Regions from separate parts of the Mus musculus genome. Here all the other regions are reported to be linked to region 1. Evidence: microRNA targets listed by miRTarBase, many of them from high-throughput screens and not tested one by one. Region 1 holds a microRNA gene; each other region holds the end of a gene's coding sequence.

The links. The annotated mature microRNA mmu-miR-875-3p reads CCUGAAAAUACUGAGGCUAUG and lies in region 1 at 2,580-2,600, shown strand. An mRNA with a match to its seed (bases 2 to 7 or 8) in the 3' UTR can be bound and repressed. Matches are read on the target gene's strand: a 7mer-m8 pairs with bases 2 to 8, a 7mer-A1 pairs with bases 2 to 7 and ends in A, and an 8mer does both.
Region 2: miRTarBase lists Cep68 as a target of mmu-miR-875-3p. Seed matches in the 3' UTR shown: 7mer-m8 at 4,479-4,485.
Region 3: miRTarBase lists Ptchd4 as a target of mmu-miR-875-3p. Seed matches in the 3' UTR shown: 7mer-A1 at 5,895-5,901 and 7mer-m8 at 4,478-4,484.
Region 4: miRTarBase lists Wnk1 as a target of mmu-miR-875-3p. Seed matches in the 3' UTR shown: 7mer-A1 at 4,578-4,584.

What each region holds. Positions count from the first base shown.
Region 1 is chr15:35,658,582-35,663,581 of GRCm38, reverse strand. It overlaps Mir875 (microRNA 875), which reads left to right and starts at 2,535; the gene lies at 2,535-2,612. The region is part of intron 30 of Vps13b (vacuolar protein sorting 13B); the gene reads right to left. Mir599 (microRNA 599) reads left to right here and starts at 2,664; the gene lies at 2,664-2,751.
Region 2 is chr11:20,224,486-20,233,126 of GRCm38, reverse strand. Cep68 (centrosomal protein 68) reads left to right here. Exons shown (of 7, transcript NM_172260.3): 6 at 2,533-2,703; 7 at 3,646-6,090. The coding sequence ends at 2,699. Rab1a (RAB1A, member RAS oncogene family) reads right to left here. Exons shown (of 6, transcript NM_008996.4): 5 at 8,629-8,641; 6 at 6,271-8,479. The coding sequence ends at 8,282. Among named protein-coding and RNA genes, the nearest start is that of Gm51885, 5.7 kb to the right of the region's middle.
Region 3 is chr17:42,503,538-42,512,178 of GRCm38, reverse strand. Ptchd4 (patched domain containing 4) reads right to left here. Exons shown (of 3, transcript NM_001355270.1): 3 at 4,438-8,641. The coding sequence ends at 8,264. Among named protein-coding and RNA genes, the nearest start is that of Opn5, 100 kb to the left of the region's middle.
Region 4 is chr6:119,920,649-119,929,289 of GRCm38, forward strand. Wnk1 (WNK lysine deficient protein kinase 1) reads right to left here. Exons shown (of 28, transcript NM_001199084.1): 27 at 6,399-6,586; 28 at 3,321-6,039. The coding sequence ends at 5,722. Rad52 (RAD52 homolog, DNA repair protein) reads left to right here. Exons shown (of 12, transcript NM_001166381.1): 11 at 159-380; 12 at 1,824-2,175. The coding sequence ends at 1,885. Among named protein-coding and RNA genes, the nearest start is that of Rad52, 22 kb to the left of the region's middle.

The sequences.
Region 1 (5,000 bases):
CGTTTAAGATTATGACAGAGTCTGTAAATATGGAGTCTTGAAAATAATTTATTGTTGCAAGTTAACTGGCTAACTAGATTCTATATTGAGAAAAAAAAATATAGTGGAGGCATTTGTAAACACAAATTACAACCTAATTAACTGGACTGAAAGTATTCTAGGCAGTCCAAATTGCAATACATTTTAATAAAGACAATTCCTTTCCTATCTTTTTTTAAAAATTGGATATTTTCCTTATTTACATTTCAAATGTTATCTCCTTTCCGGGTTTCCCTCCTTCCTGGAAATATCCTATCACATCATCCCTCCCCGCCCTCGATTCCCCTACACTGGGGATTCTATCAAGTCTGCAGAGTTCCAAGGACCTCTCCTCCCATTAGTGCATGACAAGGCCATTCTCTGCTATATATGCAGCAAGAGCCATGTGTACTCCTTTGTTGATTTAGAACAGTTATAAATTAACAGTATCACTTTTAAAGCTCTCAGGCCATTTTCCATTCACACAGACTTGTTAGAAGATAAGAGTACAATACATACACAATTAAGACCCTATTATTGAATAACTAAACACCTACGTCACATTTTATGTTAATAAGTGGGATACACATCATCTTTAATGTTGGCTGCAGAGAATCTACCCACATGAATATTACAACATTAAGTCCGTAGCTACAATTAAATATTAATAGTGTTTCAGTCAGTGAAACTATATATAATTTATGATCTTTCTTATTCATGCCCCCAAATAAGCCACCCTAAATCCAAGGCAGTTTATCACTTCATGTTCTTTAATGTGGTATCTCAAAATAAATGAGTATATAATTATCACAATGTTTTATCAAAGGCACGGATACAGTGTGGATAAGCTTGACTTGCCAGTGGTGGTATAGTTTTGAGAGGCTGTAGAACTTTAGGGTGGTGTGGTCTAGCTGGAGGAAGTGGGTCACTGGTGTGGGTTTATAGCTGGGTTCTATTTCCTGCTCTTTGATGTCAGGTTTGCAGAGGTGTGAACTAATAGCCAAAGACTCCTGCCACCACACCAGGAGCTCTTCCTAACACCCATGCTTTGCTTCCTGGCCTGCCAAGATTTGGGCATGCAGTTTCATGATTCCTCCATTAGAGCTTTGAGCTGCTCCTACTGCTAAGGCTTATCAGCAACGATGGGCTTACACAGCCTCAAATCATAAGCCCAAACACTGTTTCTTGCCCTAACCTGCCTCTTCTCAGGTATTTTCTAATAATAATAAAAGCAGCAATTAATATAGACTGTGAAGCAATATTCCATTTTGAACTTTATATACACTCATAAAAGACTCATGGAAAAATGTCCATTTAAATAACAGGTTTAGAAGGTAAACCAAGGAGGCCTGAAAAGCATGTGAGAGTCTCTAGTAGAGTACGAACTGGCAGTCTAAGCACAGAATCATCTCTTTTAGCCACTAAGATCACAGTCACTAAGAAAATTACTCAATTATAAAACATAAATATTTTAATGAAGATGAGTGTTGGGTAAGTAACATAAATCAATCCTTAATTACAACAATGCGGCTAGGCTAGATATGTAATGAACCTATACATTAAAGATGTCTGAACTTTAATAACCTGGACCACACCAGGGTCACAATTGGTAGCAGAACACTGATCATCATATAAAAGCCAGCAAACACATGAAAAGAATTACAGTACATCACACATCAAACACTATGGCCTGGTGCTTCCTTCCTCTAATCCTACTGGCAGGAAATGGTCTACACAGCTTTTGAGGTGACTAGACATATTTAAAAGAAGTCCCTTGTTCAGAAAAGCTCCTGGATGCTGCAGTTCTTAGCAGGATGGAGAGCACCTTCTGCTCTGCCGAGGACCACTGTACTACGCCTCCCGTGTCCACACAGCCCTGCAGCCACACTGAGAAGGTACTGGAATTGTATGATGCCATTTACTCTGCAAAGACTTAAAAAAAAAAAAAAATAGAAGGAATCGCCAAAGTTGTGTTTCCATATTGTATATAGCAGGTAAATTCATCCAAAATTGAAAAGATTTAACAATGTTACTTTGGATTAATAGAATCAGCTTTTGACCTGAGCCTGAATTATATACTTTTAGTGCAAGAATAAATTTCAGAAAATATCTTTCTCACATGACAATTCTTGAACCTGGACAGTATACAAATGATTCTGGTGTACTGTTAGGCTTTTTTGTTTGTTTTTAAAAAATACTACACTTCTGAGGATGTATTTTCAAATAAAATAATTGAAATTAAACAAATATGAATCCAGATAAAAGCAAAAATTCAGACTATCTAATGTTATGCAAAATAGGAAAGTATATATAAAATCAATTCTATTCCATTTTTCTTATTTTAAAATTCAAGTATGTTTATAATGTAACTTGACAATGTTTACCAGAATGAAAGCAAATTAAAGAATTATCTCTTTCATTAATGTCTCTTCTGCCACTAAGATGAACAAGGGGTGCTTCCATCCTATAACCCTGTGCATTTGTTTATTTTTCCTAGGTTTGGGGAAATTCCCAGTTCTGTGGTACTATACCTCAGTTTTATCAGGTGTTCATTAAAATCACCTGAAAATACTGAGGCTATGTTTCACTGAGCATAAGCTTCATGGATTCCTTGAGTGACTGCAGCTGTACTCACCACAAAGATGTGCTGTCCACAGTGTATTTGATAAGATGACATAGGAGAGGAACTTCTTTCACCTTTGTGTCAGTTTATCAAACCCATACCTGGATGACAAGCAATTCAATGGAAGGAAAACCAGTCCCAGAATTCAAAGCATTATTTCCTGTAGAAGAGCTCTGTGCTCTCTAAATGCCAAAGGCATAAATATACGACAGTTTCACTAAATGACTAAAGCCTTAAATAATATGGATAGAAACGGTTGCACTGCTAAAGTTATAACCACAGTTATTAAGGTTTACTGGTATGCTAGGGGATTTGGGTGAAAATAGCACTAAGGATAAATATGTATTACCTGATAATAAAATATGAGGAATTTATGTTAAAATTATGCTTTGACTTTGCTCAAAATTATTGACTTTTATATTTTTCGATTATTGTATTGCTTTGGTTCAGAATCCTCGACAAGAAAATTTATAGGTGGCAAACACAGGTTAAGGAAAGAGCATTCACAAATTAAAAACTGAAATTAGCATTTAGTTTTCTTGAAAGTTACCAATAGTCATAAAGGGTAGAACAGTGTTAATCTTTGACATATAGGCTACTATGGGCAGAAGTGAAGGCTGCAGGGGTCTGGGGGAAGTGTTAATGTGGCTATGTTTAAGCAATTAGTATTTCTCCTGTGGGAACTATCACTTCAAGAATGAAACAAGGACAAATAAGAAGAAAACATTCTATGGCCATTTTTACCTACCTTGATAATCAGGGCTGTGTTCCTTAGTACTTTTGCCAACATGAACTACTTTTCTGGTATCTTAACCTTATCAAAGTTCAGGGTTAGAAATTACAGAACAAAAACATCAGATTAAGGAATGGTTTCAATGAAGGGGATAAACAGCTTCTAAACAAAGGATAAGCCTTTCTAAGTGCATAAAAAAACTATTTAACCTACGACACTAATGACAGTGCACACTGTAATAAAGAAAGAGAAGCATGCGTGGGAAGGAAGTTGTCCTTCACACTGACCCTGCAGAGGAGAACTGTTCATTGCTGGGGCAGGGGAATGACACTTTCTAAGTCTGCATGCCACCTCACTGCTGCTCACCAGATGTTCATACGTGATATATACAGGTAATTTACTATGCATATGTAGTGAATATGTGTATGGTCCTTGCTTCTTAATTTGACACCTAATTAGCTTCTCTGTGGTAAAGATGTTAGGCTGTGGCTGTAAGTGGACACTAGTCAATACAGGCTAAAACAGTAAATAAGTGGCCTTTACAGCATCTCACATTTACAAGTTCACTAAAAAGATATTTTAAAAACAGGGAATGTATGATGTATCATGTACCCATCCTTTCATCAATGAACACATATAGGAAACAAACATACAGAATACTATTTAATTATAACATTCAATTATTTTATAATAGGCATTTAAGAAAACATAACACTATTTTACCATTTTTGTGTCTTGCATGTCAGTAGCCATGGTACACAAGCATTATATGCCAAGTATTATGGAGATTTAAAGGTTTAAAATTATTTTAAGGTCTATTTAACCTGTTTTCTTTTTTTTAAATTAGGTATTCATTTCATTTACATTTCCAATGCTATCCCAAAAGTCCCCCACACCCTCCCCCACTCACTCCCCCACCCATCCACTCCCACTTCTTGGCCCTGGCATTCCCCTGTACTGAGGCATATAAAGTTTGCACGACCAATGGGCCTCTCTTTCCACTGATGGCCAACTAGGCCATCTTCTGATACATATGCAGCTAGAGACACGAGCTCTAGGGGGTACTGGTTAGTTCATATTGTTGTTCCACCTATAGGGTTGCAGATCCCTTCAGCTCCTTGGGTACTTTCTCTAGCTCCTCCACTGGGGGCCTTGTGATCCATCCAATAGGTGACTGTGAGCATCCACTTCTGTGTTGCTAGGCCCTGGCATAGTCTCACAAGAGACAGCTATATCTGGGTCCTTTCAGCAAAATCTTATTAGTGTATGCAATGGTGTCAGCATTTGGAAGCTGATTATGGGATGTATCCCCGGATATGGCAGTCTCTAGATGGTCCATCCTTTCGTCTCAGCTCCAAACTTTGTCTCTGTAACTCCTTCCATGGGTGTTTTGTTCCCAATTCTAAGAAGGGGCAAAGTGTCCACACTTTGGTCTTCGTTCTTCTTGAGTTTCATGCATTTAGCAAATTGTATCTTATATCTTGGGTATTCTAAGTTTCTGGGCTAATATCCACTTATCAGTGAGTACATATTGTGCGAGTTCCTTTGTGATTGGGTTACCTCACTCAGGATGATGCCCTCCAGGTCCATCCATTTGGCTAGGAATTTCATAAATTCATTCTTTTT
Region 2 (8,641 bases), not on the chromosome of region 1:
TTGCAGCACAGAAGCCCTCAGACCCCTGGAACCTTTCCAGGCAGTGCCAGTTGTACCCTGGGAAGTGAATACATGGGGAGGTTTTGATGGAGAGCAACCACGAACGGGTCTGCACCAGTGTGAACTAATGAGCCCTTTGTCTCCCCTGCTTCTCTGAAGGCCTGTTTTGAAATTCTTCCTGTGTTCTCTTACATAGGATTTTTAGGTGTTGCTTTTGTGGCTAAGCCTTAATGGTTATGTTTTTATTGTTTTGTATATGAATGTTATGTAGTTGTGTGTGTGTGTGTGTGTGTGTCTGTCTGTCTGTCTGTGTCTGTGCCATCCCATCTGTGTGGAGGTGGTCAGGTAGTTAGTTCTTTTCTACCCTTATACATATTTTAAAGATTGAATTCAGGTTGCAAGCCTTAACTTGCTAAGCCATCACACCAGCCTCAAGTTTTATATTAAGGCAGAAATTTGATATAGCAAGCTTTATTGCTTCTGACTACACTGGTGTTTACCAAACAAGCTTAGCATGGGGCTTGAGAAACCTGCAGCTGCTGTCCAGGGTCTGAAGAAACAGGGTCTGAGCAGAAAGAGCTCATTATAGGCCTCTTCACAGAGGCCATGTGTAATGGAAGGCTGCCTTAAGTAAGCTAACAAGAGCCACTTTGTCCTACTCTGAGAAGAGACTTAGGGGTCAGCCTGGCCTCTTAGAAGAGGCTTTTGGTTTTCTTTGAATCTCAGATATGAACCCAGACCTTCGGACTGCTACCCTCCCAGCCCTCAGCCTGGAGTAACTGGAACGCTTAGCTGTTCTGTTCAAGTTTCAAGTTACCCTTAACACTTTCTACTTCCTCTTCCCAGAAGCATCCTGTCAGCACACACGCCATACCATCCTGCTTCTTCCGAGTCTGCTTTCTTACTTGGCTCCAAGTCTAACTGCAGGAGTGACTAAGGCTTGCCCCTACCTACCACCAAGAGGGCCCTATGTCAGCACCCTGCCAAAGGAAGTTTGACCTAGTTACAGAAATATAGGCTGACATTTTTTTTTTTTTTTTTTTTTTTTTTTTTTTTGGATTTTCGAGACAGGGTTTCTCTGTATAGCCCTGGCTGTCCTGGAACTCACTTTGTAGACCAGGCTGGCCTCGAACTCAGAAATCCGCCTACCTCTGCCTCTCGAGTGCTGGGATTAAAGGCGTGCGCCACCACGCCCAGCTTTAGGCTGACATTTTGTTCTACACTCTCAACTGCTTATGAGTCATGTGACTGGGACTCGTGGGAATTACACCAAATGAAGCCCCCCATATGTATGTGTAAAATTAAAGCGCACACACACCAAAAACAGGAAAAGGGCTGGAGAGATGGCTCAAGAGGTTAAGAACATTGTCTGCCCTTCCAGGGGTCCTGAGTTCAGTTCTCAGCTACCACATGGTGGCTCACAACCATCTACAGTGAGATCTGGTGCCTCTTCTGGTCTGCGGGCATAATGCAGGCAGAACACTACATAATAAATCCTAAGAAAAAGAAACCTGTACCCTTTCTAGCCTTTCTTCCCTGACCTGTTTAAAGTTTCAAATAAAAAGCCCCAGAATTCCACTGACACACGGAAAGACTGAACAGAGCTTGGCTCAGCCACCCTGACAACATTCCTCTGCCACCAGCTCCAAGAAATTGTTAGGCCAGCACTTTTGCCTCACTATGGCTTTCTAAGGGGCTGACCTCAACACACCCAGCCAGTTCCTTCCCTTCCTGCCCCATCGAGTCCACATTGTGAGCAGAACAAAGACTTCCCCTTTCTTATCCTCTGCTGGCAGATGTTGCTCTCAGGCAGGAAGCTCGGGAGCATTTAACCCAGCTGATAAAGCACAGGAAGCAAGCAGCTTTTGTATTTAACAAAAGAAAACAGCCAGCCTTTTTGAGTACTCTAATCCTAGCGCCTCCCTCTTTAGACATGCATAGTCTATTCTCTAATCGTTCCTCCAGTTTTGGTCATTGATCCTTCTTACCCCCCAAAGTCCACAAACTTCCCCAATACATTACATAAGCTCTGGAACCTTTGGAACATCACTATTTAAAGGGAGAAGATTAAATGAACTGGGAGTGTGGCTCAGTTTCTAGAATGTTTTGCCTAACTTACATAAAACTTTGGCTCCAGTTCCCAGAACTTCATAAACTACTGTAGTGTGCATGCTGTGGTATATACCTGTATCAAAAGTTCAAGGTCGGGGCTGGAGAAATGGTTCAGTGGGTAAGGGCACTGTCTGCTCTTCCAGAGGTCCTGAGTTCAAATCCCAGCATCCACATGGTGGCTCACAACCATCTGTAACGAGATCTGATGCCCTCCTCTGGTGTGTCTGAAGACAACTATAGTGTACTTACATATAATAAATAAATCTTTTTTTAAAAAAAAAGTTCAAGGTCATGTTCAAGTAGAAAGGTTAGAGGTCAGCCTGAGCTACATGAGACCCTGCTAGGGTAGGGAGGAGTCACTGTGAAACTTACAGACCTATGTGAGCAAAATGCTATACCTTTTTATAATTTGACCATTAGTTTTAAAGGATGTCCTTGAGAGGATTGCAAAGCAGTCTGGTGAGCTGGAGAGCCGTGCAGATCATCTTTATGACTCTATCTTAGCCTCTTTGGACATGTTGGCTGGCTGCACCCTCATCCCTGACAACAGGCCAACAGCAGCAGAACACCCACATGAAGGGCTTTAACACAGTAAGTAGAGAAACCCAAGAAGAGGACTTACTGTCCAACCACTGTGCTAACAAGGGCACAAGGCTGTCCCAGTAAATAATTACTTCTTATATACTTGGCTGGGGTAATACTCATTGAAACAAATGTAGTATTGAAGGAAGACTGAAGGAGTCACTACCCTGGCCAGGAAGGTGGGTCTTTCACTCTTTCCAGTGTCTTGTTAACATGTGCTTGCTGAGCTGCATATCCCACATTCCCATACGGTGTTCTCTACCTCTACTGCTACACCACACAGCAGACAGCAGCAGTAATCCTTACAGTGCTACTCTCTCCAGTGTGGGGCTGCGTTCAAGACTGTCCCTGTCCTACAGGCTCTCTTGCTCAACTCACTCAGCACCTGTCTCCAAGCATCTCTGACAACACAAACGTCTACAAAAACCCAGTTACTTGCCAGATCGCTATGCTACAAAGGACCTTTGCAGATCTTCCATACCACACCATTCCCCCAAAGACTGGGGGATGACACATCTTACAGACTTAACAATCAATACTACTTGTTAAATACAACTTTTAGAAAGTCAAACTGGCAATGAGATAGGAAGAAGCCCAAGAAAAAAGCAGGGTTATCTGGTACCTATCCTGGGCAGAATCACAGGTTGTACTGATTTTTTTCCTCTTACAAAATGTTTATCAAATAAATCTCAGTGAGCAAATGCTGGAAATATGTCAAGAGCAGAGACTCCAGCAGCGGGAGGATGGTGATGCAGACCTGTAATCTCACCTAGAGGCTGAAGCATGAGAGTTCCTAGAAGCCAGCCTAAGCTACTCAACAGACCATCTTTAAAAAAATAGTAGTAGTAAAGGGGCCCTGCATTTGCATCAGTGATGTGAGTGGTGTGAGTACATGTGGTAGCACACTGCTGCCTCTGCAGCAGGCTGTAACCTTGCTCTCCTCTCATTCAGGCAGAGGTGGAGTCATTGGCGAGATGGCAGCTGGAAAGAAAACTCAAGAACTCCTTGTAAGAGCCATGGAAGTTAAGGAAGGGGAGGAAATCAACTTGAACACACGTTAAGATGCCTTTCTCGCCTCTGAAGGATCCTGAGTCACTGCCCTCATTTACTATGAATCCCTCCAAAATTAAGGCCGTTTCTATGGTGCTTCTCTACAATAATTATGTGGCTTTATAATTAGTTGATAAAATATTAAGACTTGTGGGTCTCGTGTTTAAAAACCAGCAGATAAAATGTGTTGAGGCCATTTACAGAAAGCTGCTGGAGAAAGGTTCTACGTACTTAGGATTCTCAGGCATACAGGGGGATGGGATCTAAGAGAGAAAATGTTAGTGGCCAAAACTGTAGAGTGAAATGCTCACCCTTAGTAAGTCGGGAGAACCTCTACAGAGTCCTAGGAGTTGCCACCTATAGTGGTCAGTCTCCACTTCAACCATGTCAAGAATGCTCAGGAGCTGGCCTGCCATGCTTCTGAACTGCATGCTTGTGCTAACCTCTGGGGATCTCAGGCCACAGTTCTCTTCCCCTTGGAAGACTAGTCAGAGGACTGGGCCGGGTAGAGACAGCCACATGGTCTGTGCGTACGTAAATTAAAGCAGCCATTGGTGATGAAAAGCGGGGAGTCTTTGTAGTTTGGGAGTGAACAGGAAGTTGTGCCTTGTCAGGAAGAAAAGAATTCTATGGACCTATCATAGGTCCATATGTTCAAAGCATCAGTTACAGCTTTCCAAGCAAAGTGTTTGTATGTTGGCTACCACAAATTCCACAAAGTATCAAAGGTGGGCTTTTCAGGTTTAAAAAAAAAATAGCTATTTAGATAAGCATGTACATGACTTTAATCCTAGTACTTAAAAGTAGCTCTGTGAGTTTGAGGACAGTCTGGCTTGTTTATTAGAGTCCAGGCTGCCAGGGCTTTATAAAGAAGAAGAAGAAGAAGAAGGAAAAAAAGATTCTTCAGTAAGTATGCATAAAATACAGTATTTTTACATGCCTGATGCTACACAGCATGATTTACCATAATGCTTATGGGCATGATCCATATTAAGAGTTTTGTTGTTACTGGTTTGTTTTTGGGTTTTTGAGACAAGGTTTCTCTGTGTAACAGAACCCTGGCTGTACCGGGACTCCCTCTGTAGACTAGGCTGGCCTCAAACTCAAGAGAGATCCTGTGCCTCCCCAAGTGTTGGGATTAAAGTCATGCACCAGCTCACATTAGTTTTATTCTGCCATCTCTAAGTTAAACTTATTTCTTATACTGTACATGGTACATAAAGTGCTTTCAAGAGGCTAAAACAAAACTTTTCTAGCAAATAATTTAAGTTAAATGTAAAATATCCTATAAAACCTAGAATTGGTCAAAAGCACATCTTACCTCTCATGTGGATTTAAACTGCCTTCCCACCAATATGTTAAAGGAGCCCTCAGGTATTAAAGCCATTTGTCAAGCATGAAAGTCAGGAGACTCATAGAGCTAGCCAGCTGCTCCAACTGAATGCAAAATGGGGCACTCCTCTTCTTTTGCTGTATAATTACAATTGATTCAACTGACAGTGAGCATGGTTTCCCAACACAATACTGGCCCGAACATGCTCTATGCTTCTGCTCATCCTCTTTGTAACAAGAAGATAGACTTTTTGTAACTAAAGGGTGTAACTCTGACCTTGGCTGTGAATGCCATTTAGGAATATCAATACAACTGTTGTTTTATCTTCTGGTGTGTGTTATGTTTGAGCTAAAATGTCTCAGCCTTGGATGTCACTACCATTTGCATCTGTAAATGTGGCCAGGCTAGACTCAAATAGCCTTTTTAGAATTTATAAATGGTCCCTTAAAGTTCAGAGTTCACAGTAAAGTAGCATCTTGAGACAGGGTTGTTACAGGTCTACAGTGAAGCTCTAGCACAAAACAAGATAATTCAAACAGCTTTGAAACTTAAAATGACATCGTGGTACAAGATGTGGCCAAATATGAGCCTGAGGGAACTGTCCGAAAGAGCACTGGACCTTAGGGGAGCCGTGGCCAACTGAGAGAGTGCTTTTCATTATGCACGTTTCTCTATGGCAGTCATTTTTAAAATATATCAAGGGACAGTTTTCTATTATGTGAACATATTAGAGCCCCCAAGAGTCTTGAAATATTTATACTTGAAAAATGGGTTATTTCCCACTCTAAAACAGCAATTATCAGCACATACATGAAACCAAATAGTGAAGCATGCTGAAATAGTCTGGTAAGCCCTAATCTTGCTGCCAGTGGGGAAAGAGCACTAGAATTTTAGTCTGTAAATATGTTTATATTAAAAATAAATTCATGTAATGTTTTCTGCTAACAGAATAAGCTGACAGTTTGAACAACTTTTGCTGTGTAAAATTAAAGTGCTTGGCACCATTTCATCCTATATTGGTGTTGTATCATTTAGTTATGATAGAAAACAGTTTATGAACTCTTTCTCCCTTTATATTGACAAAAAACCAACAGCTACAAAAAAATAAAAGATATTGACCCAATTCCTGGTGACTTGAGGAGTTTCCAGTTACCTTTTTATATATAAGGATGAATAGACCCAACAAGCGCATCTATAATACAAAGTAAACTATGATTTTATTGTGAAATTCTCATAGATGGAAAATTAAATTGAATATTTATTCTGTCCATTTTTCAATTTACAATAATCTTACCACTTATTTTTGTACCATGTATTTCAATTGTCTGTTTAGTGAAAAATAAACCTGTAATTTCTGGCTTATTTTTAGTTTAATATTTTATCATTAAAGACCCCATGATAAAATGTGTTATCAACAGCCATACCCTACCCTAGCCCCCAATTGAAGAATGCTTGGCTGCTCCTTAAACCAAAGGAAACAATCTCTGACCTTTGTCACCTTAAAATGCTAGTGTCTGCAAGAGACTTTGTTTCCCACAGTAAGACAAAAGCAAAGTCTAGGATTTCGAAGATCCTAGTTAACAAACTTTCACACATGCAAAATTTCACCGAAATAAATATATTATTTCTCCCATCATTCCCATCTAGCGTTCATGTTTTCATTTAATTTGGGGGGGGGGGGAGATAGAATTTCTACAATTAGGGCAATCACATTTCCTGCTTTCTATTCTAATGCTTAAACTCTCCACCAACATGATTCATACAATTGGAAAGAATAAAGTTGACACCTGGAAGTGGAGGCAGGAGGATCAGGAGTTCAAGGGCATCCTTGGTTACAAGTGAATTTGAGGCCTCTTGAGCTATATGAGACATTGTCTCAAAAAATAGGTGCAGTCTGGGACATCATTTAATCCCAGCACTTTTGAGGAAAAGGCAGGTGAATGGGGGAGGGGGAGGCAGCCTGTTGTACATACTTAAGTTCCAGGCTAGCCAGGGCTACATAGTAAGACCCTGTCTCAAAAAAGAAAGGGGAAAAAAGCCAGGCGTGGCGGCGCACACCTTCAGTCTCAGCACTCAGAGACAGAGCTAGGTGGATCCCTGAGTTCGAGGCCAGCCTGGTCTACAGAGAGAGTTCCAGGACAGCCAGGGATACACAGAGAAACCCTATCTCCAATAGCCAAAAAGAAAAAAGAAAGAAAAAGGTGTGTGCGCCATCAGACTGAGCATGAAGAAACACCAGCACTATTACCAGATCACTGCCTGGGAGGAAGCATGGGCTGCTCTCCATCTCTACCACAGATGAGGGAAAAAAGGGTTGCTGGTGAAGCCACTTCAGGTGGCCTGGGCTGGAGATGAAGCACTAGAGTTTGAGTTCCTTGAACCAATGAAGGTGGTGAAGTCTCTACACAGCACAAAAGCTTCTCTAGGTCACTCATCAGACCTATTACTAGAAAGCAAACCCTGGATGCTGTGCTATTAAGATAGGTCTACAGTGCCCTTGCTGCACACACGTGGCTGCTGAGTAGAATGCAAAGCTCTATTTCCCTTTAATCATAGGAATTAAAACAATACTTATCACCATACAGTTTGATATTACTTCCAATAAGTACAATATTTATTAAACATATCTTCAGTTTTGTTACATAGTGTGCAACAAATTACAATATTCTGCAGCCACAAATTATATGCAGAGTATGAAGAAACTATTAATCAGATAGTGTAATCTTTCCATTTATAACTCTACCAGGAAGAACTAGCAAATCAGATCTTACATATAACGTCTCACTAAACTTTATGCGTGGAAACTGACAGACACTGGTTGTGCTGTGTGATACAAAATGGCTGAACTTCATCTTCAGAAGACTAAACCCAACATCTAAACATGCCAATATAAACATCAAAACAAAATATATTCTAACCAACCACGGGAAACGATCTGGTATCAGGAAAGCAACAAGGATTACACACATTATTTTATAAACCAGCACACAAAGGTTTAAAACAGTTCTGAAAATGAAGTTAGCGGTCTTGAGTCAAGGGAATAAAAAAAAAAGTCAGTATTGACCATTTACAATCTCTGACCTTGTGGAAACGGTAAGAATCTGTTGTAGTGCAGCTACATACAGTACAATTCAGGCAATTTTGTTTTTTCACTTGGGTTCAGATTGCGAATTCATTGCTGTGAGAAAAGGACGGAGGCAGATTTTAGCAGCAGCCTCCACCTGACTGCTTGACTGGAGTGCTCTGGATTTTAACATTGGACTTCTCGGCACCACCAGCTGTAGCTCCAGGACCCATTCGCTTTTTAATCTCAGCTGCCATCGTCATGAAAGACTGTTCTACATTCGTTGCGTTCTTAGCACTGGTTTCCAAAAATGGAATTCCAAGGGAATCTGCAAATTCCTGAGAGAATAATAAGGCACAGTGAACAATGGAAAATCCTTCTGACTTAGTCTTCTGAAATGGGAATGGGGGACTAAGCTCACTGGCTTTTACAGGGTGAGGCAGTCCCCATAATTAAATTCAGTGTCAAAGTCAAACCTCATACATACCTTTGCTGTTGTG
Region 3 (8,641 bases), not on the chromosome of region 1:
CACACACACACACACACACACGTATTTATATACATATATATGTATATTTATAAAGATTCATTTAAAATGCATGGGAAATGTTATATCACATTGTAAAGTCAAGAGGAATTATGTCTGGGAAATTTAATACTTGCCTATGAGAGAACCTTCCTCTAAAAGACAGGAAGTTGAAAGGACTCCCTGAGGTGAGATGAGTAAGTTGGGTATTATGTCATTTAGTATTAGCAATAAGAACTGAAGGACAGTGCAGTTAATCTAGAAATGACTTGACTTTTATAGCATTTGGCATGATTAAAAAAATTCAGCAAGAGCAATTAACACTAGGAATTTCATCATGTTAGTATCTTGTATATGCTAAGACTTTTTAAATATACCAACTGCTCTTGCTACATACAAGGAAAGTAGTTATTTGTGAAAATCAAAGGTGAAAATAGTAACTCCATAAATCTTTGTCTAGTGGTCCTACAGTTAAAGTAAACGTGAAGCATTGTTACAAGTAGTGAAGTCTTGGTTATTTTTTTCCTTAAGACATTTATCTTTAGGCCTCAGGCATAGGTTTCTTAAGCTATATGATCCTGAGAAATTTCACTAAAATGATTGTATAGATGTACATGTAAAACCTGAAAATAAAAATAAGATAAATATTTGACATACAATTTCTATCCACAAAGGTACGAGAGCTATTCAATTAGGAGAATCACATTTATTTATTCCTGTGATAGTTACAAGAAAAACTCATTTTCAGATTATTTTATTTTGCTTACTGAGAATGGAAATACATATAAATGTTCCCCATGAGTCAAATTTTGGAAAATTAAAACCACTGAAATCACTTTTTAAAGCTCTTTTATTAATATTATTTCTAATAATAATTCTAATAATTTCTAATAATTAGAATATTTGATGCTCAGGAAGACCTAAGCTGTGTATTTGGGCAGTCTGTTATTTGGGAGAAGACATCTTGACACTGAAATACAACTTAAGTCACTCTTTTTGGCACTTGTTTTTTTTTTTTCCTTTAAGCTTCTGTCGATAAGGTAGCTTTAGAGTTAAAGTCCTATGTGCAGAATTCTGGAACAGAGGTCTTCAATCCTTTACTGGAAAATTGGATGTGATGAATAAGGCTATTTTTACAAAAAAGAATGCAAAGAACCAAAATGTAAAAGGAATGTTATATTAAAAAGCCATCCTTATGGCAAAGGCAACTGGCAATGGTGTTTTGCCATTGGGGTTTGTACTGTTAGGATGCCAGGACTTTATAATTTTATACATGTTATCTTTCCTTTTCATTTGGCTATAGAGATTAGCATCTCACTGCACCAGGATTAGGAACTTGTGGGCATTTCTTCTGGGAAAGGAAAGGAAATGGAGCACTCGGTTTCCGTGGTCACGCCCATGGTTTATTGACTTGCGAAGAGACAGCTATCCTTTCTAGCAGTCTTCTCCTCACTGATTTGAAGCAGCCTGTGGTTCAGAATCTTAGTGGAGGAGAAAGCAGTGGTTTTACACTGGGTGGGTGGGTCAGGGGGGACCTAGGAAGTCATTCTAGTATCTTTATTGTTTCATAACTGCTTAACATAAGTAAAGTAATTGATGCCTTTCCATCCTCTGCAAAGAAGGGCAAATGGGCTTTTCATTGAAGTTAGTCCCAGATTACTTGATGACACATCTTGCTGATGAGCCACTGTCTCTAAGTTAACCCTAGGCAGTACTGTTTCTGAACTAATACTCTTGCTGCACTAATTTTCATGCTCTGGGATTTCCATGAAGAGATAACTGAACATCTTTCCCAAGGGATGCTGCATTGGTGAATATTTATAGTAAGTGGCACACAGAAATAAAACTACACACGATGGTGTTCATTTTACCACTATCTGGGTACGATTTTACCAGTGAAAGGAAAATAAATAATAGTGTATTACCATTTAGACAAAGGTTGTATGGCATTTCATCTTTAAATATCCCTGTGAGGTAGCTTAGCAATATCTCTGTCCTTTTCAAACAGTGACAGATTTTCTACTTAAGAATCAGGAAGTCTATTGCTGAAAGAATATGCATAATTAATGGGAACACGTGATAAGCATTGCAGATACACTGGTGAGCAGGAGGATAAATGGTTTCAGTCACTCGGACTTTTATGTCAGAGGAGGAAAGACAAGGGAATATCCTGATTCCATATAGACATGAATGCTATAGATTGTACTAAGACCTATAAAACCACAGCAGCTGTTCTTTTTCTTTTTCAAGGTCTCTCAGTATGGCTGCAAATAAAGACTCAGCAATCCACCGACTTTGGTGATGAAAGCGATTTCCATTTTCAGTGGGAGATTCTGCTCCCTTCTCACATTTAGATAATGGAATGTTTCTCACAGTGTGCCATGAACAATCTCTTCCAAGAATCCAAGCTAAATCTATTCCGGACTGGAAAGTGACACAATTATAATAAGCTCCACTTATCTTTTATTCATGGTGGTCACTCCTAATACTTTCCAGGAAACTCTTCAATGAAATCTTCCCCAAACATTAAAACTCTTACATCTCCACTGGTTTGAAAGAGCCCTGGAGAATATGTAGTGGCTTTTGTAACTGCAAAAACAAACGGGAAGGAAACTATATCAGGCATGCCATGAGCCACGCAGCAAACTGGAACACAATTATGAATGACTAATGCTAACCCCGCCTTGGCTGGAACAGGAGCCCAAGAAACGGAGCAAGAATCACCAAGAGGCTGTGAATTGCTCTTACTCCCATGTCATCAAGGTTTTCTTTAATTTTTAGGATTTTATAATTGGTGTGACCTATGAGAGCTTTCTTTGGGAAAATTCATCTCAGTGAGAAAACAGAGACTGGAGTCCTATAGTTTATAAAAGTGCAAAATTGTCAATGATCTCATTTATAAATTCTTTATTGTATTAAAAATGCCTTGGTGACAGAGGTTCCCAGTGCAGCCTTAGCTCATTTTATCTCAACAACCCCTTTAAGGATGTAGAAGAGCTAAGATATGGTCCATTCAATAGCTACAGACGGTGCAAACACTGCTTGCATGTATTTCTCTCTTTGAATCATTTTCCTCTTTACAAGAAGAGTAAATGACTTCTCTATCAGCAGCAGATTATAGACCCTCATTAGGTAAATAAAAATGTTCAAAAGTATTATCTGTATTATAGCATCCTGAAAATGAATACTTTTCTGGGTGTTTAGCTGGAGTATTCTTTTCAAGAGTCCTTCAGCTTATTTTTAACTCACAAAACAGATCTGGTCCTGCTTAGAAAACCAGAAGCAGACCCAGTGTCTGAGTCTTACAAACAAGAACATGATCTCCAAGTGGGATAGATATAGTTACATGTATCTAGGTTTGCAAGCAGGTAGAACCTCTAGTTTTGAGGCACCAATTGATTCTCTGTGCTATTTTCTAACCTATAAAGTCTAGTGTGTAAGGACTTTATTGATGTCACTCTTCCTGACACACCCACACGCTGATATCTTGATTTCTTAGCTGGAGCCTTATCTGTCTTTTGGTATCTTCCAATCTCATCCAAATGTCATCTAACAAAACTTCAAAACATTTGGAACTCAGAGCAGTAACCCCTGCCCTCCTAGCTACAACACTGATGAACATTGGTCATCTGATACAGGAATTGAATTGTGGCTACATTCATATGTAGCACCTATGTGCTGAATGTCCAGTAAAGAGGCCTTGCTGCTTTTGATTTGGTCGCTACCACTGCAGTCATATTAAAGGCAAAGCTGTAAAAAAAAAAAAAAAAAAAAAAAAAAAAGTAATTACCTTCTGTGCAGTGTATCTGCAGATCATTGTGGAAAAAGGTTGGCATAAGGGCCTGTGCCACAGAGATGAGTCAGAGTTTTGTATTCAAATTTGAGATGAGGAGACTTCAAGGGCACACTGATTCAGCCATAGATGTTTTGACTTGATACTGCAGAACTTTGTTATAACTTTATTATTATTTTTTTTGTCACCGTAAAAGAAAGAATTTTATTGTTTTAAAAGAGAATAAAAATTATCTTGAAATTCCTTTGAAATAAATGAAAGCTTTCGGGATCACCTTTGAAAGAATTAGCAGAGGGCTGTGCACACAGGAACAACACTGATTGGATGGAGACTTTTCTCTGGGAAGCGTGGGTAAATCATAGAATTCTACAGTCTCATGAGAAATCATCACAGGTCCATTTTTAAGGTACTGTAACTTCTGGCTTGCTTTAGGGCATCCAGGGCATATTTGATTCCTGCCTAATGCAGATTCTGCTTGACCCAGCAGAGACCTGGCTTAGCCCTGGGTTTTCCCAATGGCCATCTTAGTGTAGGTGGCTTTTTTTTTTTTTTGATACTATGAGAAAGCAATTTTCTGATTGCTTCCCTTAGCATGAAGTTTTTTATGGACTTTAGGGCTTTGCAACTAAAACCCATGAGGCATTTATGATAGAGAATATGAGAATTTTAATAAAAAGTGTAATAACCCTGAAAATAGTGTCTTTAATCATCTACATACTAGTAATCATGCGTGCATTGTGCCATGCATTTATAAATATTTGGTCATAAAAATATTTGACTGTAATAACAATATTTACAGTCAACATATAAAAATACACACAATTCTGAATGGCAATAATTAATCCCCAGCTCGAATCGCAAGCCTAGAAGGATTAGCTTGTTATGGTAAAGTGCAATGGATAATTACAGAATGGACATAGCTCTTACACTCAAGATCAACATACAAGAATGGCTATTATAGCATCGTAGAAGCTACGGGTATCACACTTCTTTCTTTCACAATACAAAATAAAACATGTAAGTTCATTTCTGTGGAAAACAATTGGAAATAAATTGGAAGAAAGACATTTATGAGATACAAACTTAGTTGAGAATAGCTCTGTCATAGAGTACTCATGCTCAGCCTTCAAAGAGGTTCATGGTCACTGCAAGAACCCACCAGAAAACATGTAGCTATATATTCTTTCAACAGACTTCCACATGATGTAGGTCAGCCCACGAAACCTTTAGACAAATCTTGACTGATAATTTAGGTGAGTTCCTCCTTGGGGAGATTGGGACATAAAATGATATTTTCTGTTTCACATTCTGTGGGGGGGGGGAACACAGTCCAATTTAAACAAGAAAAAGTATGGGGTTCACAAGTTTTTAAAAATCTCTTCTATCAAGGGGAAAACACACTACAGTATATAAAATACTCCACAGTTCTAAAAGATTCACCACTGTTTTCTTCTAGGGTTTGAAAGGCCCCTCTGTTTGATAGACGATAACGTCCTAACTTGAATGCCATCAGCACTTCACAATGGATAAAGCAAGCAAAAACTTGAAAATCTAGGATGGAGCATACCAATAATCAGAAAAGGTTGAGTTTGGAGGTTTACCTGCAAATCATGATCTAATATTTTAATACTTGGTACTCAGTGAAGGAAATCTTGGAAATATCTGCTTCAGTGTGAGGTTGGAAGGTTTGCCGGATGCTTTGCGAGGTTCTTCTGGGCTTACATTACTTCCTAAGACCAAGACAAGGAATTTTGGGCACCCTATTAACTCTTCCAGAACACGGAGTTTCATTTCAGTAAATTATTGCTACATATCCTTGGAGAGAATCACGTGTTCTGGAGAAGTTAACATCTCTTCTAAAATGCCACCTCTCTAGACACTTGGACAATGAGAAATTCTTGTTTGTCCTACACGTCTGATCCTTGAAGACAATACTTAATATATAAACAAGTCTTTCCCCATCCAAGTGCTTTGAGAGAGACTGAAACTGGTGCTTTGGCATAATATGCAGCGGTACTTCCATGTATTTGGCAGTTTGCAAGCTTGCCAATTAGCTTGTCAATCTTTTTGTTGTTGTTGGGTTTTTTTTTTTTTTTTTTTTGTATCTGAAATGGTATGGCAATTATAAAACACAAGTAAGTTATCTTTAAATAAACAATTGGTGAAACAATGGAGTTTCACTGAATATGGACAGATATGAAGTGATATGGAATCCTCAGCTTCTTAGTGGCTGTCTTTACAAGCAGGTGGGAGTGATAGAAATTTTCATAAACGATGAGTAACTTTGAAAGAGGAATTCTGTTCTCCAACTGCAAAAACTGCTTAGAAAATTCGACTTCAAATATGAGATCATGGCCTGGAGGTCAACTGTCCAAATGTCTGTTCCCCCTAGGACAAAAGTTCTTGCAATGAAAGGCTGGCGTTACCTGTGACATGGCTTTACAGATACAGTGAAAATATCAAGTGCGGTTATGGGAAGTTATGGTCCCTCCTTAATTCTATAGCTATTGTATCCACATCAGGGGAGACATTGAAACACAGCAGTTTTAAAGTAGAATAGAACAAATGTCATTCAATAAACTGAAGTTTCATTTAAATGATGTCCATTTAAAAATTTGCATCATTTAGAAGAGCAGTACTGTCTATCAGCATTATTTCCTAAAACTTAAAAGGAATGGAATTTTCTAAGAGTTTTAGTTGTGTTTTGTTTTTTAAAGCCAATAGTATTGTTAATGCATTTAAATTCTACAACCCAAATTGGTAGGAAATGTAAATGTTCCTCAGGAAAAAGAGCTTCTTAGCAGGATGTGTAATCATTAGGCATTTGTTTTATTTTACCCAGAAATGAATCATCCCTTAGGTTCCTTATTTGGCATGGAAAAGGAATTTTCTAGTAAGGTTCTCCAACATGAATAGCAGCCTTAGTCCTTGAACGCACCCAGCAGACTGAGTACTTGCCTGGGGCATAGTTTTCAACACTAACTCAAACAAACAAACGAACAAACAAACAAAACCAAAAAAACCCAAAACATTTACCTCAATACTTTTTCTTTCTTTCTTTCTTTTTTTAATGTAAGGACTCCAGGTGCAATTACACACAGTTAATATGGCACCAGTAGAGAGCTGTGCTTGCCATAGGAGATTACTTTCTAGTTAATGAAGACAATGATACTCCAAGAAGCTACAAAATGATGCTGCAGGGGTTATGGTGACCACCATCATAGTGATCATGGTCTTGGTTAATGCTCCCAGACTTATTCCAAGGAACACATTAGAGTCTGTAGAGTTGGCAAGTTTTTCTTAAACAACAGGCTGTTTGATGCCGAGATGGTGAATGGTAGATGGCTCATTTTACTCGCTACATTTTCCAGACATTTTCTTTTTCCTGTGTTAATTGCCACCTGTGCCACAACAGTGTATTTTCACCATTTAACTTAAGAGCTCTTAACTACGAAATGGTATCTCATCATTTCTTTCCATCTCTCACTTACACTGTGTACCCTTACATATGCATGCAAAAACAATGTGCTTAAAGGGCTCATTTTTTTCAGGTGGATGAGATATCCAAAAGTAGCCATGCTGGCCTTCCAAATACACAGAAATGTTAAAAGCTAATGACAAGCTATCTCAACTACTTTAGATTCTAAACGTTTGTTCACATGCTAATTAACTCAAATACCTTTTGGAGTTTTGGTGAAGTCATCCCAAACGTAGGATCTCAGTGACCAACAACATGATAGGTAGAATTTAATGGATTCAAATTTCTGTCTATCTTGTTATCACACAGTTGATAATTCTCTTGCTATTTAGACAGTTGAGTTGATTTCAAGTGACCAATTATATATTTTGTATCATCCCTAATGAGGTTATATATTTGACTAATGTTGATTTGACTTTTTGAGAAAGGCCAGCCTATCTGCAAATGAACATCTTCTTTCATCCAACCACCAACACACACTCAAGACATATTATGTATATGTATACTTATATGTACACACAAAGTGGATTGGGAGGTCCGGTCCTTTGGTTTATACAGGATTAAATGTGTACTTCCCATGTGCATAGGTTTCCTTTGATTGATCTGTTCATGAAAACATGAAGTGACATGACAAATTAGACATTTCTTTTTGTACTTTCCCCTATCTGGAGACCACCTATTCTCTCTTCTCCATTTCTTCTAAGAATCTTTAGATCTTTCGGCCTTCCATCTGACCACACCAATCCATCCATTTCTCAGAAAAGCTCTAAGATCAATGTCTGGAGAATTATCTCTCATGGAGCACAAGGTTGTAAAGAACTTCACCTCCTTTTATTATCTCTTCCATCAAAAGAAGCAGACCCTTGGATGCGTCATGAAAAATGCACTCTTGATCTGACCTGCCTTTTTACCCCTGGCCAGCCCAAGCAGCTGAGGTCTGAGCCTTACTAGCCCTGCATCATTGTGCAATACTGGAAAAGAAAAAGTCTCCACCCTCAGACTGTGGTGACGTGATCAGGGTTCTCTTGGATTTCTATGCATTCAATTTCCTCTCTCTCCTTTCGTTTGGCCCGTTTCTTTTTCTTGTGGTGCTTTTTGGAAGGAGGAAAAAAGGTTAGGAACACAGGTAAGATAACAAAACAGTGCAGAAGCGTGCAACCCCCGGTCAGCAGCAAGCATTTGAACAGTGTGAAGGTCAGGTTTGAAGGCACAAAGAGGAGGGGGAGCAACCCAATAAGAAAAGAAGTAATGTTTTGCAAAATGGCTGTCCCATGCTCTTGCAGGGAGCTTTTTATACACTGTGTTCTGGTGTGCTCAGTTGCTAATACAAATGTATAAAGCAGTGGTGCACAGTGGTCAATGGCAAAATTTAA
Region 4 (8,641 bases), not on the chromosome of region 1:
GAGCTCAAAGCCTGGAATTTTTTTTTTTTTAGTCCTGAGCCAGGGCCTCACTCTCTAGCCTGAAAACTGTTCATCTGCTCCCTGCTGGCTGCCACATGCACCATTATGGTTGTCAAACATGGAAGCTTTTGTGAATGACACCGTGGTTCTCTTTGTAGATAACCTTGAAGAGAACCTTGAAATGTGGGACCTTACTCCAGACTTAGAGGACATCATTAAGCCCTTGTGTAGAGCAGAACCAGCCCAAACTTCTGCCACTCGAACCTTCAACAACCAGGACAGCGTCCCACATATCCATTGCCATCAGAAACCACAAGAAAAGCCTGGACCTGGGCACCTGCAGACCTGCAACACCAACCAGCATGTTCTAGGTAGCAGAGGTGTGTGGAAGAATGAAAGTTCTGGGTTTAATTCTTTAACATGTAAAGGAAAGGTGCTAGTTCATTTTAAGACGCTGACTTAAGGGGCTGGAGAGATGGCTTAGCAGTTAACAGTACACACACTGCTCTTGTAGAGAACCTGGACTTAATTCCTAGTACTCATGTATTGCTTCACATACACAACTGTCTACACCACCAGTTCCAAGGAGACTGGATACACCTTTTCTGGACTCTGGGCATGCAAGCAGCATATAGACACACATGCAGGCTAAACCCCAGCACAAAAACTAAAAAGAAAGGGTGGGGGGATGATAAACAGGACTCAGTAGCACATGCCTGCAATCCTGGCCCTCAGGATTAGTGCACCTCTCCAGAGAGAACCAAGTGTACTTCCTTTGGTATTTTGTCTGTGGAAGAGGCCAGCCTGAGCTCTATGAGGTATAGATATGCCTCATAAAAGATGAAGTCTGTGGGCTGGGTATTTAGTCCAACCAATGGTATAACACTTACCTAGTATGTTGTAAGGCCTTGTGTTCAATCGGGCCAGTAAGGAATACATACATATTAAGATCCTGTCTCAAAAGGAGAAAAAAAAAAAAAAAAAAAAAAAAAAAAGCTGGGCAGAGTCCTTTACCTGAGCAGTTCAGGTAAAGATAGTGGTTTGATACAGGGGAACACCAGGGCCAAAAAGGGGGAGTGGGTGGGCAGGGGAGTGGGGGTGGGTGGATATGGGGGACTTTTGGTATAGCATTGGAAATGTAAATGAGTTAAATACCTAATAAAAAATGGAAAAAAAAAAAAGATAGTGGTTTGAGCTTTGGACTCTGGACATCATGGCTAGATCTGTTTAGATCTAGAATGTGGTGTGTCCAACATGAGACTTGGGAAAGTTATGAGTGTTTGCATTGACAAAGTTACAAACTTAATTATTTTTGTAACTTGATTGCATGGCTCTTGAGCTGCAAACTTTGATGATAGTGTTTTATAATGTCAAAATGTTGGACACACTACTTGTCCTGATTGCATTTAGATCACTTCTTCCTCAAGGTAGATATGTCATAATGAGAATGACACCACAATGGTCACTCATTGTGTGTTGTCTAAATGAGGGTTGTTGGCCAATACAGTCCAGAAATGACTACATCCCAATCACAGCCCCCCGCCCCCCAGTCCCTCTCCTTCTCAGAGCCTAAGGGAAGCCTCCCTTGGGTACCACCTCTTCCTGGGACTTCTAGCAGGACTAGGCAAATTAGGAGTCCTAATCAGGCAGTCCAGTTAGGGGAAGAGGATGCAATAGCAGGCAACCGTGAGACAGGCCCTATTCTAGTTGTTAGGGGACCCACATGAAGACCAAGCTGCACGTCTGCTATAAAAATGTTGTGGTGGGGGGGGGGCTACTGTTTAAAGTCAAGGCTGCTGTATTTAAACCATTATCTTCTACAGAAGACTCTGAACCTCATAGGAAGAGCCAGGACCTGAAGAAAAGGAAACTAGATCCATCCTGAGACTCAAGATGTCACTAGACCGTCACAAAAGGACTTTGGAAAACTGCAGTTTGGTCACAAAATTGTTCCACCTTGGCTCATGCTGAACTCTTTAGAGGACTATAGAGGAAGCTAACTACTTAAAAAGGTTGTCATACCCCATGATGGGAAGGAGGCCAACAGATAAACTTTGTTCAGTATTACTCACTCCTAAGCTGATTCTAGGACCTTGCAGGCTGCCTTTCATTTAACGATGTTGCCCACCAAGCCCCAGCATGACTGTTACCTACATTAAATTATGTGTGACCTCATCTTTCCTTTGGCTTCAGGTTTTTAATGTTTTCCACTAAGCATTGCTATGAACAAGGTCATGTTGTCGGTTCAGGATCACATGCGGATCCATGGAGGAGTCTCCCTTTATCCAGAGATGTGCCAACACTTAAAACGGGGTGCTTAAGGCACTGGATTAGTTGGCATTCTTTTTAGTAGGTTTTTTCCTTTGGAGATGATTTTTTTTCATGTAGTCCTGGAACTTGCTTTTTAGACCAAGCTGCCTTGAACCTGTCCTCTCCCTCCTGAGTGCTGGGATTAAAGGTGTGCACCATCACACCTGGCTCCTATTAGTTCTGCTGTTAGTGTTTTTTTGAGCCATCAAGTAATGTTTGAACACTGACACTGGCAGAATTGGTGTAACTTACAATTGAGATTACTGGTAGTTTAGGCTTCTTGCATGGCTGTACTTGGCAAAGGCATAGTTAGGGTAAGATTCTTATCATACTACATGAATAGTGCACCATTTTAAAGAATTGTTTTCTCTGGCTGAAGAGCCTTTGAGTGAAAAGCCATGGGTTGTTGGGAAGCCATAATTTCTCACTTAAAGAAGGGTGGAATTGGCTACACAGAGAAACCCTGTTTCGAAAAAACAAAACAAAAGAAGAAGGGTGGAATCATGATCCATATGGTTTCTGGGAATTGAACTCAGGATATTTGGATGAGAAACTACTTAGCTGTCTCCCTAGGAATAGGTGTTTTAAGGAAGTAACTGTTCTTTAACTATACCACACCCAAAGTTTCATGATTCTTTTCAAAGGAACAATGAACTTCCAATTCTACTTAAGCTGAATTTAGGGTTATGCTATGAGGGAATTGGTGAGTCCCTGGGACCAGGCACAGGCTTGGTGAGAAAGAAGTGCCTCTAGCCCCTGTGCCTAGTCTTGAAGCAGGGACAAGATCTGTTGGTGAGAAACTGAGACCTATGTCAGACGCTGTTGACTGACAGCAGTTTGCAATAATTTCCCTGCCATCTAACAGCTGTTGCTTTGCCTTTTCCTGAGGACTAGCAACAGACTCCTTGGAGAAGTGCCACTTTCACCCTTAACAGCACGATTTTAGTTATAAATGGTAGGGCCAGTGAGGACAAAAGGGTTTTTTGTTTGTCAGAAAGAACAACCCACAGTTCAACAAAAGCAAGTTTGGTTTATTTGAATGGTTTCATTAAATAAGTCTACAAAGGTAACAAACTGAAGCACAAAGCGCAATCTTACAGAAGCGCAGCCCCCGGAGTTAGTGCAAATGTACAGGTAACGGCTGCTGAGAAACCCCAAGGTTTGAATTCAGTTTTAAACAGTGTACATTGTTAAATAACGTAAGGAAAACATTTATAATTCGGAAAGTTCTTTTTAAATGTGGAAAGATACTCAAAGTGTACTATTAACACAAAAATAATTTAAACAGTTCAGTAGCACTAGCTCGTTTCTCTAGGCTTCAGTTATTTCATCCACAGGAGGGGGAAACCAACAGTAAGTAAACCTCTGTGAAGGGGGAACAGACCTCACTCAGAATGACTAAACCAAACACCACATGCTGCATTTGGCTCCCTCTACTGCTGGTATGAAGCACTCAGTCATCCTGTAACCTGCTTCACTCCCACAGTACCTCTTACCGCTCCCAAAAGGAATAAATGAGTCAACACTTTGGTAGCACGACCTGAAACAAAAGCCCTGCTCATTACACTTCCCTCTCCTGAAACTTTCAGCTCTCACTTGTATCTTTGGGCCTCGACCAACTTAAAAAGAACAAGACTCTTACAGGAAGAAGCCTTGCTAGTGTGGCAACTCCTGGGATGTGTCATAAAGTTGGAAATGTGTCAGTTCCCAACTCAAGGTGAAGGAGGAAGCACCCAAGAAATGAGTTCTACTTTTTCCACTTTTCCAGAATATTCAGATCCCAAACAGCCAATTAGGTCCCTATTGCCAGAAAATCAGATAATACTGGTTGGTTGCTGTTATTTGGGGATATGGGTATGAAAATGTGAGAGTATTAGCTCTAATATAGAAGTACAGGCAGCACAATAGATTCTGACTGTGCAACCATTTGGACAGCTAGGAAAGGAAATAAGCACTTTTTCCTACAATGCTTAGAAAGTTAGAAGTGGGTTGAATTCCCACAATACAGTACTTAAAGCAGAGAAAGTGTGGTGGTACTTGTGCAACAAGAGGTGGGGGCAACCGAGCAGGTTTCCTTAGAGCAACATTTTCCATCTGTGACTTGGCACTGTCATCCTTCCCAACTTAAAATCTAGCCCACTCCCCTCTTTTTGTTTAATCTCTTCTAGATCTCGTTTGTTCACTGGCCAAGCATCACTTCAAACAAGCTTGTCCCCACATCTTCAGTCCTTATCTTTCACACACAGCTCACAACCCTCCTCATTCTTTCTGAAACAGAACTTTGTTTTCAACCACTGATGCCAACTTCACTGTGCTCACCTTACACCTGCTCTAGGCAAAATTGAAACGACTGAGAAAACAAAACAAAACAAAACAAAATAATAAACCAAACCAAAACCAAAAACACTTTCATTTTCCCTTTGGCATATCCACTGCTGGGGTCATGTGGACCTAAGATTTCTTTCCACATACCCTTTGGTGACCTGGGGTCTGGTAAGTTGATGCTAACAGCAGAAGCAATAGAAGTCCAAGGCACTAAAATATCCAGCAAGCAATACTGGGAGAACAGAAGTATTCAAGTACAGTAATTTATACAATTTTACATTCACATTTATTTATCTAATACAATGGAAATACAAAGGAAAAAGTTAAAGTGTCTTAATAAGTAAAGGACAGAGCTAGCTTTTGTGTGTGTGTGAACCTTTTAAACCTTTCAAATTTTTCTCTTAAAACTAATGTTGTCCAACAACATTTATATATCACAGTGTTTCCACATCAAAACTGATGGCAAAGTTACATGTCCGCAGGGAACGTTATTGTTTTCCCTAATTGCTAATGCTGCAGTCAAAGCTGCTAATATCTTTTGCTTAAAGCATTAATGACCTATGTAAGAAAGGGTTGCAACCCCAGTCCCCTGGTATTTTTCACTAGGTTGTAAAAGGGGGGGAAAAAGTGGGGGTAGGGATCAGAGTGGGAGAGAACCTTTGTCTTAAGGTGTGCATTGTTGAGGGAATAAGGAATTTGGGACACATGTCAAAATTAAAGAGCTCTGCCCACTTACAGATACAGATCGGGTTTGGCTTACATTGAGCTCTTGGGGCTTTCTGGTAACAAGGTTCTCTTCTAGTTCTAGGCCTTACTGAGGGGTACAAAAACAGAAAAGCAGTCTCAAGCAGCCCCTCCACCAGAAAGCTGTTCATTCCTTCTTTTTTAACTCCAACAAACGGAGAAGGAGGGTGGTTCTCCATTCTGAGGGCTCAAAATGGTATTAAAAACATTCCCTTCTGGCAAGAAATAACCAGTTAAATGCAGCACTAGTAGTTAGTATATAGGCTACTTCCCCACCCCCCCACCCCCCCAGCATTCCATTTCCTGCCCCCAAATCTACTCAGTTAACATCCTTGCTGCTGACTAGGTGGTCCGTAGATTGGAACCTGGGGGGTTGCTGATGGACTTCTGCAAATTGCTGATGTTGAAATTTTGCAAGGATGCTGTTCCTACAGGTTGGAACTGGCCAAGTGGCTGCGGTGCTGGACCACCTGTTCCACTCCACTGAGTGCCAAATGGGGCAGGTGGAAAACCATACTGCTGTGGGGGACACATGGATTTGGTGAAGTGACCTAGAGAGGTAGCAGATGCTGCAGAGATGGGGGTAGAGCCACCCAGGTTTGAGGTCATGGGAACACACAGCTGCCCAGGAGCAGAGAACTTCCTTGCCATTCCAGGGCCCTAAAAACAAGAAAGTAGCAATGAGAATTTGATGAAAAATGGGTGATACTATAATGCTGTTGTAGAGCTGAGATGTTCTAATCTTAGCATTATCAAAATATAACGAAGCCGCCCATATTTATTGGCTTTACCCTTAACAAGGAGGAGTGAAAAGTAGGATCTGAGATGTGTTTTATGTGCACATGCAGGTAGTGCAGGATGTTGAAGAAAAAGGGTACCAAAATGATTGCTGCCTTGTTTTCTCAATAATAGAATCCACAGGCTACTGAAGATGGTAGTGGTAAGGATGGCATACCAGCCTTGGCTGTCCATGACATGTCTGTGTATAGTCTGGCAGGTTAGGAAAAGGGAAGACTCACCTCATAATTCATGTGTCCTTTGCTGCCTCTCCTGCCTGAAAGATTCATGGCATCTCGGGCCCAGTTGTCTACTAACTTGTGCAGGTCATCTGTGAATGTGCCCTTCCTACTGGAAGTCATAGCAGGAGGCTGAGCCTGGGCAGCCTGGCTACTCACTGTTCCTCCAACGGTATTTGTGCTGCTGGTCCCTAGAATTATAAGTAACACAATATTAGCATTAAAGTAGGGTTCTGGGATATAACTTTGGGGAAAGGGGAAAATGTCATAGGGTAATGATTGGCAAGCCACGGAATGGGGAGAATATTTGGGAAGCCATGCAGGAGAGGAAGATTTTGAAGTATTACTTATCCATTTGCTTTTGCACAACAGGTAGTGAAAATGGTTTCTCTTCCACAGCTTGTAGATAAGGCTAAACAACATGGAGTGATGGCAGGCATGAAGGGAAGGGCATTTTCTAACACTGGGACTGTCTGCCAGTATTCTATTCCCAGCAACATACTGATGAGGGAGTGATATGGTCCACGGGGCTGGCTGCTATGGAACTTTGAAGAGAGCAGGGCCAAAGAAGTACTGTGCACTGGGCAAGTTATATAGTACAAAGGCAGAGATCAGGGCTTCTGTGGAAAAGATGGGGTTTCCAGACAGCATGTATGCTGTGGCATTCGTTCTTTAGATGCTCTTCAAACAAATAGAAATAAGGAGATGCTACATGCTTTGTTTAAAAGTTTTCACCTGAAACCATAAACATAAATTTGAAAATATAAATTTGGAAGGAGTCGAGGCTTCAACTCCTCTCTATGTCCCATGAATAAAGAACTGAGTTTTGGCAGCAGCAGAAATGCCTGAAATTCTCAGCTCCATGAAGTTATGACTTCTTGAGGACTTGGGTTTTAACTGGTCAAGGATTCTCATCCCTTCTCCCCATTCTTCCCAACAGAAGAAGCACTCCTGGGTTGAAGCAACAGGAAAATGCAGCTGAGGCAGGGGTGCAGAGGGGAGAGAAGGCATAGAGGTTATGATGAAGGATTTCTATTTCTATGGTTTGATGAAAAAGAAAGGAGGAGTCTGTGTCCTGCCTGATTTCGGTTCAGCTGGAGGGCACACTGAAGGTTATTCGTAGAGGCAAGTTTTAGGGAAGAGGGAAAGAAGAGTCATGGTCTTATTTTTGGTTTTTATCCCCCACTTAATTAGTAGACTTTACATTTACTACACAGTAAATAAAGGTTACTAATGTTGTGAGCCAGAAGGTCCTACCATACTCAAGGAACTCTGGGACTAAATGCATGCGTTTTCCTGCTTTTAAATGCCAAAGCAGCACACCAGAGCACAGCAGCACACCTGAAGCAACCCTACTGCAATCCACTGTTGGTACCAAAGGGTGTATCTATTTTACCACAAAGGGAATGTCTCTAGCTAAAAGCATGTCTGTGCTAGAGGAAAGCTAACTTGGGTAAAGGTGCAGAATAAGGATGCTCACATGCTTCTTTGGTTGCTGTGGCAAGACATGAATTGTTGCAGTCACATGGTGCCTGCTAAAACTGCAGAGGATTGTTACTATACAGTGTAAAGGTAGAGTAATTCACCTACAGTATAGGAAACCAAGTGGGAAAGTATAAAAGCACAGGAAACAGCCTTCCTTGAATAGCAAGTGTGGGACAAAGGTGCAGTGGGAAGGAAGCACAGGCTGTGAGATGGGCAGTTACAACAGTGAGGAAACCCAGAAAGCAGGCATGTGGCATGCACGAGGACTAGCATCCTGCTAGATGACAGGCCAGATGATCGAAACAATAAAAATATCCACAAGTGAGCAGAGCTGTCGATGCCAGATGAGAAGCCAAGGCAGGGTGAGCACTGCTTGTCAGAGAGCTCATGCCAGAGGTGACACTTCTCTAGTCTCATGCTCTTGATGTTGTGAGGGCCTTTAAAACTAAACACCATTCATTTTAGTCTATATTCCTCAATACTGTATTCTAAAAATGAGCTTTACCGTACATGTGAGCGTCACCCTACAGTTAGCTTTTTATTGTAGTTTCTGACTATAAAGTAGGATTAACAGGCTTTCTGCGGTGTGGTTACTTTAAAATGTTTTCAGTTCCCTGAAAGCTTTATAAAATATGATAGATTTTATTTCCTTAAATTCATCTTCTAAGTTTCTCCTATCCCTACGCTGTCAGATTAAGACATGTCCATCAGCCATTATTAATACATGTCCATCAGCCATCATATAAGCCATATTTACTGCC